Macaca mulatta: one gene and its partners. The protein of the gene in region 2 purifies or fractionates together with the protein of the main gene of each other region. This does not show direct contact. Links are inferred from orthologs where the notes say so. Each region holds a gene or a part of one and is shown on either strand. Other genes may lie near its edges.

What was found.
Region 1: the proteins of GLMN (region 2) and CUL4B purify together in Homo sapiens (affinity purification with mass spectrometry; 3 studies listed by BioGRID and IntAct, counting the BioPlex papers as one, with this or other methods). This does not show direct contact. The link is inferred for Macaca mulatta from reciprocal best matches to the Homo sapiens genes GLMN and CUL4B.
Region 3: the proteins of GLMN (region 2) and CUL7 purify together in Homo sapiens (affinity purification with mass spectrometry; 4 studies listed by BioGRID and IntAct, counting the BioPlex papers as one, with this or other methods). This does not show direct contact. The link is inferred for Macaca mulatta from reciprocal best matches to the Homo sapiens genes GLMN and CUL7.

The regions. Positions count from the first base shown.
Region 1 is NC_133426.1:126,934,867-126,938,518, reverse strand, and holds part of CUL4B (cullin-4B), read left to right. Parts: coding exon 1-44; intron 45-493; coding exon 494-585; intron 586-1,676; coding exon 1,677-1,784; intron 1,785-2,770; coding exon 2,771-2,884; intron 2,885-3,652.
Region 2 is NC_133406.1:148,035,368-148,039,019, reverse strand, and holds part of GLMN (glomulin), read right to left. Parts: coding exon 3,541-3,652; intron 2,429-3,540; coding exon 2,320-2,428; intron 1,284-2,319; coding exon 1,046-1,283; intron 1-1,045.
Region 3 is NC_133409.1:139,074,417-139,078,168, forward strand, and holds the start of CUL7 (cullin-7), read left to right. Parts: upstream 1-1,271; 5' UTR 1,272-1,422; coding exon 1,423-1,570; exon of another isoform or gene 1,571-1,659; intron 1,660-1,923; exon of another isoform or gene 1,924-2,019; intron 2,020-2,504; coding exon 2,505-3,185; intron 3,186-3,530; coding exon 3,531-3,682; intron 3,683-3,752. Other genes in the region: MRPL2 (large ribosomal subunit protein uL2m), read left to right, coding at 840-1,052. UniProt on the Homo sapiens protein: Core component of the 3M and Cul7-RING(FBXW8) complexes, which mediate the ubiquitination and subsequent proteasomal degradation of target proteins. Core component of the 3M complex, a complex required to regulate microtubule dynamics and genome integrity.

The DNA of each region.
Region 1 (3,652 bases), on a different chromosome or scaffold from region 2:
GTCTGTAGATGCTGAAAAATCAATGCTGTCCAAACTTAAACATGGTAGGTTTCTCATTCTTTCTGTTCCTTTTCTTTGATTTCTGAAGGAGAATGTTAGCTTCTTACCCTTTCAATCGATTTCCTCTTTTGTCAGTCGTGTCTATGTATATATGATGAAAACATAAATTGAGCAAGCTCCTGAGGTTTCCAACTTATTGTACATATATCCAGAGCTGTTGTGTTTTTTAAGATAAAGCATTGTTCTTGGTTTTATTATTTGTATAAAAGTTTCCCATTTATTTTATACCTAAATAGTAGATAAGGTTACTACAGGATTAAAGAGTTTGACTCTGAATTAATGGGGCATACACTTTGGGGTAAGGATTTCTTTTTATTCTTATGAAAGTTACAGATCATACTAAAGTAAGTTTTGTATTTCGTGTTTCCCACTTTTAAACCTCTTTTGTTTTTACCACTTTAAAATATTATACATGTACAAACATCTTTAATAGAATGCGGAGCTGCTTTCACCAGCAAACTTGAAGGAATGTTTAAAGACATGGAACTTTCTAAAGACATCATGATTCAGTTCAAACAGGTAAAAGTGAGTTAAACTCTTACTTAATTCCTCGAACTTAGTTATATTTAGTTATCCGCTTGCTGTGATTTGTACTGAAGAGGATAAATAGAAACGTGTTTGTTGTAATTACTTCATGGCAACTGAGGTGATATTCACAGTAGAAAAAAAACCATTGGTGAAATATAAGTATATTTGACCTACTTTAGGATTTATTTTTAACAAACACCCAGAGTAACACAAAAATAAAAATAAAATGTATTGAACTGAAGTCAGTACAAGAAGAGCTATAGTGGGAACAGGGCTTTCCCCAGCGTCTTATCATTTGGTGATTTGCATGTTCAGAGCTTGCAGTGGGGAGAGAGGAGAAGTGATAATGTAGCTGTATAAAGCCTTTGGGGACACTGGGGATAGAAAGCTAGATCCACAGTTTTGAAGATGTAGGTAGAAAGTAGTTTTGAAATGTTTAAGAACATAGGTGATAGTGATGGCAAGTTAGATTTTCCTCTTTTGGGGTTTTAGTAGTGACTTCTTTACCCCACAATGTTGCTAAGGTGGGAAGTGGAAGTGAAAGAATTAAGAAAAAATCAGGGTCAGTAAGATTATGAATTCTATAGTAGCTACCGAATGGGGCTTATCTGCTTTGCCCTTTTCCCCTCTTTTTCCTTCCCTACTCCAGGCCACTCCCTGCAGACAGGCAGTGGAGCAAGCGAAAAACTGGAGACTTGGGCTGGCTGGTGGGGTGAGGAATGGGGATTGCTGCAAGATGTTTAAGCCATGTAGGGGTATTCAAAGGTGGGGACTGCAGGTGGTATTGGGGAAAAGAGTGGAGGAGAGATCCTATAACAGCCCAGCTGTATGTGAGAAATTATTTAAGTTGATAATGCCTGTAATGAGGTCATGTGATCCTTGTATGCCTTTGTATCAAAATGTTAACCTCTGTACTTGCCTAATGCATTTTGTGTAGGCTTCATTTAAAGTCCTCTTAATAATTGCCTTTTATTTTAAGGATGGTCAGTGTTTGCATATAATTTCATAACGGGGAACTTCTTAAATAGGTTATTATGATACGAAATGTATGCAGTTTTAAGATCTCAGTGTGTGTTTTGATCTTACAGTATATGCAGAATCAGAATGTTCCGGGAAATATTGAATTAACTGTGAATATCCTGACAATGGGCTATTGGCCAACATATGTGCCTATGGAAGTTCATTTACCACCAGAGGTAAGAGTTACTGTTTAGAACCTGAGTTATAGGCATAGAAATCATAACATTTCCATTTTGCTTGTCATTTAAAAATAGATACTTAGAAAAAAATAGAGACCCAGGGCCTCGCTGTATTGCTCAGGCTGGTCTTGAACTCTTGGGCTCAAGTGATCCCCCCTGCCTCAACCTTCCAAAGTGCTGGGATTACAGGTGTGAGTCACCAGGCCTGGCATAGATACTTTTAAAAGTGAATGTCAGTAAACACACCAACACCAAATACCAACTGCTTTAATATTTTACTTTTGTACTTCTAAGTCCAGTTAAGAGCCTAGCTAATAATGCCAAAGTTCTGGGTTCAGGATCAATTTCCCTGGCTCTTCTTCCATCTTCACAGATTATACCCCTCATTCTACCTAGTTATTAAGAATTCTTGCACATATTTCATCCATAGGTGGGATTGCTAAATGATGGGTGCTTGATTAAATCTATCCTGACTCCTGGGAAACTGTCTAGCCCAGGACTGAAGTCCATAAAAGGGATTAAGGCTAGACAGCTAGATATTGAGAATCCTCCATGGAGATGGTTATGAAGGCCCAGGGAGTAGATCTGTCTCAAAGAGGAAGAAAAAACAGCAGAGGCAGAACTTTAGAAAAGGCTCACATTTGGCAGATGGTAGAAAGAGGAACCTGTGAAGGAAACCAGTGCAGAAGCAACAGTGAGATAAAGGAACCAGCATAGTATAGAGGCACAAAAGCTGCTGCAGGTCAATGTTTCAAAAGAGTGGATGATTAAATGGTTCAGATAGAGCAAAGGGTATAAATCCTAATAAATCCCATTTGATTTGGTGGTTGGGAGATCATTATTTTTCATCAAAGTGATTGGTGGACCTACTGGATATAGTCTTAAAATTTTCCAGAAATTATATCACATGAGGTAAGTATAAAAAGTGGTAAATGTGGTATTGGGTATAGAGCTTAAATAAAGCCTTATTTTATTTACTTTAGATGGTAAAACTTCAGGAGATTTTCAAGACATTTTACCTAGGCAAACATAGTGGCAGGAAACTTCAGTGGCAGTCAACCCTAGGACACTGTGTGCTTAAAGCAGAATTTAAAGAGGTAAGTGGATGTTCCCAAAACTTTTAGTTTTCATCTTTGTCTTTAATATTTAGGTCATCTTTCTTAACTAAAAGGTTAGGCTATTGTTTTGTGTTTTTTTTTTTTCAGACAGAGTCTCACTCTGTCTCAGGGTGGAGTGCAGTGGCGCTATCTTGGCTCACCGCAACCTCCGCCTCCCAGGTTCAAGTGATTCTCCTGCCTCAGCCTCCCGAGTGGCTGGGACTACAGGCGTGCGCCACCATGCCCAGCTAATTTTTTTATATTTTTAGTAGAGACGGGGTTTCACCATGTTGGCCAGGATGGTCTCTATCTCTTGACCTTGTGATCCACCTGCCTCAGCCTCCCAAAGTGCTGGGATTATAGGCATGAGCCACCGCGTTTGGCCAGTTTAAGCTATTGTTTTATAATTGTATCCTAGATATCCGCATGACGACAGTGAGAGCTTGTCATAGCTTTATGTATTTTTAAGTAATTTTAGCTGTGTGGTCTTTCCACAATTGATTTGGCCCTTTTGCAAAACGAAAAGCAATGAACTTTTCCCCTACTCTTTCCTCACCTGTAGATGAAAACTTTACACTGCCACTTCCTATTTTTATTTATTTATTTACTTTTAGAGACAGGGTCCCACTCTTGTCACCCAGGCAGGAGTACAGTGGCACAATCACAGTTCACTGTAACCTCAAACTTATGGGCTCAAGCTATCTTCCTGCCTCCGCTTCCTAAAGTGCTGGGATTACAGGCATGAGCAACTACACCCAGCCTAACACT
Region 2 (3,652 bases):
CATAGCCCTACATTTAAGATCTTTTAGTAGACATATGAAAAAAGTAGTAAGAATGGGAGAGATGATTTTAATAATTTATCTTAACCCAATATATCTGAAATATTGTCATTTCAACATGTTATCAATATAAAAATTATTGAGGTATTTTACTGTTTTTTTTTTGTTTTTTTTTTTTTTTTAATAACAAGTCTTCAAAATCCAGGGAATATTTTATACTTAAAGTACATCTGAATTTTGACCAGCCATATGTCACATGCTACAGCCATATTGAACAGTACATGTTTAGTCTATAGCACCCATGGAGGGAATGCTGTTGGGTGGATACTCTACTACTATTTTTGTAGTCAAGTTGGATGTTCTGTCTGGTGGTCCTTCTGCTGCTTTCTTTGAAAGAGTAAAACACAATTTCTCCACAGAGCTACATATATCTATTTCCCATACTCACCCTGAGCTACATGTATCTATTTCCCCCACTTTCATTATTCACTTACTATGATGAATAAAGGCAATACAAAGAAGAATATAAAGTAAATGAATGGATTTTGGTTTTATAATTATTTTATTAATTAGTTTTTTAAAGACAGGGTCTTGCTCTGTTGCCCAGGCTGGAGTACAGTGGCCGATCATCATTCACTGTAGCCTCACACTCCTGGATTCAACCCATCCTCTAGCCTTAGCCTCCCAAGTAGTAGCACTAAGGTATATGCCACTATATCCAGCTAATTTTTAAATTTTTTTTTGTAGAGATGGGGGTCTCGCTATGTTGCCAAGGCTGGTCTCAAACTCCTGGCCCCAAACAATCCTCTCATGTCAGTCTCCCAAAGTGATGGGATTACATGTGTGAGCCACTACACCCGGCCTATAATTTTTTTAAATATAAATGTCTCAAGTCCCCATGCTGTATGAGTTGAACCCTACATTCTTCTGAAATTCAAAACGTGAAACTAGATTTCTATTTACATGTCAAACAAGGTGAAGAAACATAAAATAACTGAACTATCAATTACTTAAGTCCATTGTGAGATGTTCTTAAAATTATACTTACAATTTCAGTAATTCATCCTTTAACTTTTCATTTTCCAGTGAGTTTTCTTTGTTATCAATGACTTCTTCCACAAAAGGCTTAGTGAACTCTATTAAGGCCTTGCAACACTGACAAAGGCCATAGTCATCCATTTGTATTTGTTCTTTTGAGTATGGAACAGGAAGAAGAGATAGCTGATTCCAAAGGGTAGACAATGCTAATCCAATTGAATATGCCTTGTTATGAAGTTTCTGAATCACTAGAACAAAGATCAAGTTGTCGCTCATCAAGTATGCTAAACATGGGACAAGAAATTCGGCAAATGTGGAATTACAAGATACCTCCTCCTTCCATATTTTAACAGCTCTTGAAATCAAGATGACACATCACAGTCTAACTGGCAGTGTTTTTTTCTTCTTAGTTGTGCATAAAATAACACAGCATCTTGCCATGAAATGCTGTTTAGGTTATGTTTATAACCAACTATGTGTAACAGGCTATGTACTTAAGACAAACATGTTCTTTCCATGTTTTTTGTGTTATAAGCACAAAATATGAGAGTGTATTGTAAACTGCAAAGCACTATACAAATAGGAGGTGGTATTATTAGATTTTTTTCCCCTAGAAGACAGAATATTATAGGTGGTATGAAGCTGGTAGGCATTCATATTTAAAACAAATATAATTTCTGATTCCAGGTCCCTCTATCAGACTGTGAGATAAATGAATTTCCTAAAATGAAAAATAACCTCTTCCCATGGATACTGTCTGCCTCGGTTGCCAAGACCCATTACCTACCAATATTGTTACTGCACTCAGCCATGGAGCCTTATCATGCCATATCTCCTCGTTTCATTCTTCAGTAGTACCTTTGCTATGCCCAATCCACCTCCCAAAGCAGAGGCTGAGCAACGCCCTGCCTGATACTCTTCTGGACTACTATAATGCTATCAGATTTAGTACTGCAGACACCACAGAGGTAATCCTTGAAATATGTTTCGGGAGAAAATTCTAGATTTAAGCAGCAGATAGGAAGGTTAGGCAAAAAGGTATAGGTTTCAATACAGCACATGAAAAATAGTATGACATTCAACAGAATATTTACTGGGTACCCACTCTGGCCAGATACTATAATCTTTCCATGAGCAGCAGAATTCACATTGGCATTGCTATTATTCGTTTAAGCAGAGTACTCACTAATTAGCTGTAAACTTTGGTGTAGTATTGACATTTTGGGGTAACCATCAAGGCACTTAAAGATACAAGAAGTACTCTGATATCAAAATTCTCATTACCTGTTTGTAATGGCTGAAGCAAAAGAAGAATACTTTGGGATATCTGTTTTCCAGAGGGCTCTTCAATCAGTTCAAGCAAACCCAACAATAATTCCTTTGGATTGCATAACTATAAAAATATTCACAATTGAACCTGTTTAATACAAGTTGTATTTAAAGCCACATTATTACTATTTTTAAGAAGACATATATTGACAAAAAATATTATACAATTATGTTTTTGCTTAACATTAAAATTATTTATACAATTGTTAAAAAAATATGCACTAGCAAAACACAGAATCTGTGATGGTCAAGTAACTATAAAACTAAAAAGCAGCAAGAAGTCAATGGATCTTTAAGCTCAGGTTTCCTTTGTGCTTCACCTGTCTACTCTGAAATTGCCTTAATAAATTCCCAGGGGCTCCAGCAGGTGGGACCTTTCAATCCCACGCTGCAAGCCTATTTAGGCTAGTCCGGAATCGCTTCTGTATTTTTTAAACAGGTGAAACTTTGCATTGCTTTCTGACTGGCAATATTTTATCATCTCACTTGACTGTTTTTTTTTTAAAAGCTCCCAGCTCCCTTAGTCAATAACTCATACAGACGGAGCTCTCCTTCCAAATATATATTTGGGTATATTTACACTGATCACTAAGCAGTTTCTTATAACATCCTTCTTCTCAGAATTTTTCTTTCTTAGCCATCAAATATTGCCTTTAAACTCTACTAGCCTTTTACCAATGGTCTCTTTCTAAGGTTGTTAGTCACAACTGATCTGTGTTCTACCCCATTCCTACTTTCATTTTAATCACTTGTATTGTAGGCTTTCGATTCTCTTTTAAGGAACGTACCACAAAGAAAGAGGACTGAGATTTTAATTCTAGTTCTAATGTTGCCAAAAGATAAATGTGACCTTGAACTACCTCTCTAAACCTTGTATTCCACATCTATACAAAAAGTTACTTGTTAAAATATAGCTTCCTAGGTCTCCCCCTGGAGATGCTGAATCAATGGGTCTGATATGAAGTTAATGAGGTTAGAAAATTCTTTTATCCAGAGAATTTGGGAAATCCTGAAATGGAACTGCCTATCCAATCAATAAGACTGGGTCTTTTCTCCAACAAGTTCCTTTCTGCATGTACTTTCATGAACTGAAAGCTTTCTTACCAAACAATAAACATTAAAGGGAATTATAAAATACTGCTGTGTATTATGACAAAGAGAACCTTGTTAACTTACCTTTACTAATAAATCAAAGATCAAAAAGCAAACTTTTCTTTTAGCATCCTCTTTATCTTTACACAAAAGGCATCGAACAACAGGACCAATGAGATTCCAGCCCATATTCTTG
Region 3 (3,752 bases), on a different chromosome or scaffold from region 2:
GTGGCACGATCTTGGCTTACTGCAACCTCCACCTCCCAGGTTCAAGCAGTTCTCCTGCCTCAGCCTCCTGAGTAGCTGGGATTGCAGGCATGCACCACCACAGCTGGCTAATTTTTGTGTTTTAGTAGAGATGGGGTTTCACCACGTTGGCCAGGCTGGTCTCGAACTCCTTACCTCGTAATCCGCCTGCCTTGGCCTCCCAAAGTGCTGAGATTACAGGAGTGAGCCACTGTGCCCGACCCTAATTTTTTTTGAGACAGGGTCTCTATTGCTTGAGTGCAGTGGCACAGTCAGCTCACTGCAGCCTCAAACTCCTGGGTTCAAGCAATTCTGCCTCAGCCCCCCAAGTAGCTGGGACTACAGGCGCACGCCACTATACCAGGCTAATTTTCGTATTTTTGTAGAGGCAAGGTATCACCATGTTGGCCAGGCTGGTCTCAAACTCCTGAGCTCAAGCGATCTGCCTGCCTAGGCTTCCGAAGTGCTGGAATTACAGGTGTGACCCACTGCACCTGGCCCTGGCTAATATTTTTTATTTTTGTAGAGATGGGGTCTCATTATGTTGCCCAGGCTGGTCTCGAACTTCTGAGCTCAAGTGATCCTCCAGCCCCGGCCTCCCAAAGTGCTGGGATTACCGGCCTGAGTCCTTGCGCCCAGCTCTTTGTTTTCAACTACCTAGTTCCTACTGTAGGACCTTCACTTAGCTTCAACCATCTTGTGCTTTTCCTTTTTCCTCTCTCCTCTCCTTGAGTCTAAGAAGCCCCCAAGGGTTTTGCTGTCAACACTGTCAAGCGCTTTCCCCCACATTGTATAGAATCTCCATCTGTTTTCTCTGTCAGGTGCTGGAAACGTGCATAGCAACAGTAGGCCGAGTATCCAACGTTGATCATAACAAACGGGTCATTGGCAAGGCAGGTCGCAACCGCTGGCTGGGCAAGAGGCCTAACAGTGGGCGATGGCACCGCAAGGGAGGCTGGGCTGGCCGAAAGATTCGGCCACTACCCCCTATGAAGAGTTACGTGAAGCTGCCTTCTGCTGCTGCCCAAAGCTGATATCCCTGTACTCTAATAAAATGCCTCCCCCTCCTGTAATCTGTTACTGGTTTTTTGCGGGAGGGGATGGTACAGACTGAACGTGGGGAAAAGAAGTAAAAAGTGTGGGAGGAAAAGAAAGTACAGGACACTGGGTCTGTCCCCACCCCAATTCCCTTACAGGTAATGGAGCCGGGGGTGGAAATAAATGACGTCCAAGGCCTTTTCCAGTTGTGACTGGGAAACAGGGTGGGCACTTCCGCAGGAGGGAGGACAAAAGGAAGAGGAAAGGGCGGCGCAGAGGAGGAGGTGCTGCGTCGCCAAGGTGGCATCCGCGGCTCCTCCCCGGCCCTTTCCCAGGGCCCCTAGCCTTCCGCTGGGTCCGGCGGAAATGAGCCGTGGCTTTTGGCTGGCGGAGACGCTGGCAGGGACCAGGCTCCACCCTGCCCCAGTGGCTGCCGACCCAGGCGGCTACCGCTCTGTTCCGCAGAGGCACGCCCCTTCCTGTCTCTCCGTCTCGACCCCCTCGCGGGGCCCAGGTGGGGCCCGAGTCGCCGCCAGCATCTGTGCCGCGTCCCTTGCTCTGTGAAGGACAGGCCTCGCGCCAGGACCCCGGTGGACTTCTGAGGTGGCCAGAGCCCCGCCGCGGCCCCTTGCTCCTCTCCTGCCCACTTGCCCATCGAGCCTTGCGCTCACCCAACCTCGGTTCCCCATCCTACTGGGCCTCGGGGTTCTAGTTTATGGGGCCTAATCCCCCCTCCCCCACTTTACCGCGCGCCCCTGGCTTCTCGGGTCTCCAACCTCGGTCCCCCAAGCCTCGCGCCCCTCACCTACCTTGTCTGTGCACCCTGCCCTGGGTCTCGCGGCGCCCCCACCAGCCCTTTTGTTCCAGTTGCTCCAGTCGCTCCAGTCAGAGGCGCCTCCAACCCACCAGTGCCTCCTCCCAGTCCATCGCGCCTTGCCCTCCCACTCCACCACCAGTTCTCAGGTCTCTTAACTCTGCGATCTCGGGACTCTTAACTTGGGTCTCACACTCCCATGCTCCAATCCTTAGAGACAGCACCCCTTTCCACACACACTCAGGATCTCCCTCCCAAACATACCCCTCTGGGCTTCACATATCCCCAGGGTAGCTGCCTGTTTCAAGGCCTTGGGATTCACTTGTAACTCCAAGGCTGCCCTGCCTGCCCCCACTAGTCTGCCCACTGTTCCAAACCAACCCACTCCAGGCCTCAGGGTCTTGGGGACCTTCCTTTTAGCCCCCAAATTTTGTGTTATTTCACAACAAAACACCCCAGTGTTCTCTGCTTAGGCCTGCCCCGACTCAGCATGCAGCATGCAACTCCTGGGCCTGGCTTTACCCCACCCCGCCTGACAGCTGTTGCCATTTGCTTCCCCACCTCCTGGATGTCTTTGATTTTCTGACCTCTCCTTACTCTAGCTTGTCTGTTCTCTTTTCCTTGTGTGCTCCAGGTGCCAGGATGGTGGGGGAACTCCGCTACAGGGAATTCAGGGTGCCCCTGGGGCCTGGCTTACATGCCTATCCTGATGAGCTGATCCGCCAGCGAGTGGGCCATGATGGGCATCCTGAGTACCAGATCCGTTGGCTCATCCTGCGGCGTGGCGATGAGGGTGACGGGGGCTCTGGCCAAGTGGACTGCAAGGCTGAGCACATCCTGCTGTGGATGTCCAAGGATGAGATCTATGCCAACTGCCACAAGATGCTGGGCGAGGATGGCCAGGTCATCGGGCCCTCCCAGGAGTCTTCAGGGGAGGTTGGGGCCCTGGACAAATCTGTGCTGGAGGAGATGGAAACCGATGTGAAGTCCCTCATTCAGAGAGCCCTTCGGCAGCTGGAGGAGTGTGTGGGCACCATCCCTCCTGCTCCTCTACTTCACACTGTCCACGTGCTCAGCGCCTATGCCAGCATCGAGCCCCTCACTGGGGTATTCAAGGACCCAAGAGTCCTGGACTTGCTCATGCACATGTTGAGTAGTCCCGATTATCAGATTCGCTGGAGCGCAGGCCGGATGATACAAGCCCTGTCCTCCCATGATGCTGGTGAGGGGCAGTGTGGGGAGGAAGGGAAAGCAGAAGGGCTGGGTCGGCTCAGGGACTCACAGGACACTGTGGCAGGAGCCTCTGATCTCATCAGTACGTAAATGATTCTGTTGCCCTTCTCTTAGAGTTGGAAGAAAAGGAGGTGGGAATGGGAGTGAGGGTGGGGGTTATCTGCCAAAAGAGGAAAGACTATCTTCAATAACCTCATATTAATTAGTTGCTTTTTATGCAAAGGAAGAATTTACAGTTTAGACTATTGTAGATGGTGTTTATGTGCGTGTGTGTATGTATATAAGTTGTCAAATTTTAGCTTTTGAAGCAAATCAGTTCTTTCCCATTGTGTGATGGCAAAAGGATTGGATTGAAAGAATAGAGGGTCTAAGATTTCTAGGAAGGGTGAGATTAGGGAGAAGTTACTAATTGGGATATGGGTTACAGGGACCCGGACTCAAATCCTTCTGTCACTGAGCCAACAAGAAGCCATTGAGAAACACCTGGATTTTGACAGCCGCTGTGCTCTGCTAGCACTGTTTGCACAGGCCACGCTCTCTGAACATCCCATGTCTTTCGAGGGCATTCAGCTACCACAGGTAACCTTTGGGGGTATAAGGTAGGGGGAGCTTGTGAACAAGATCTAGGGACCAGGCCTTTGCACCTATC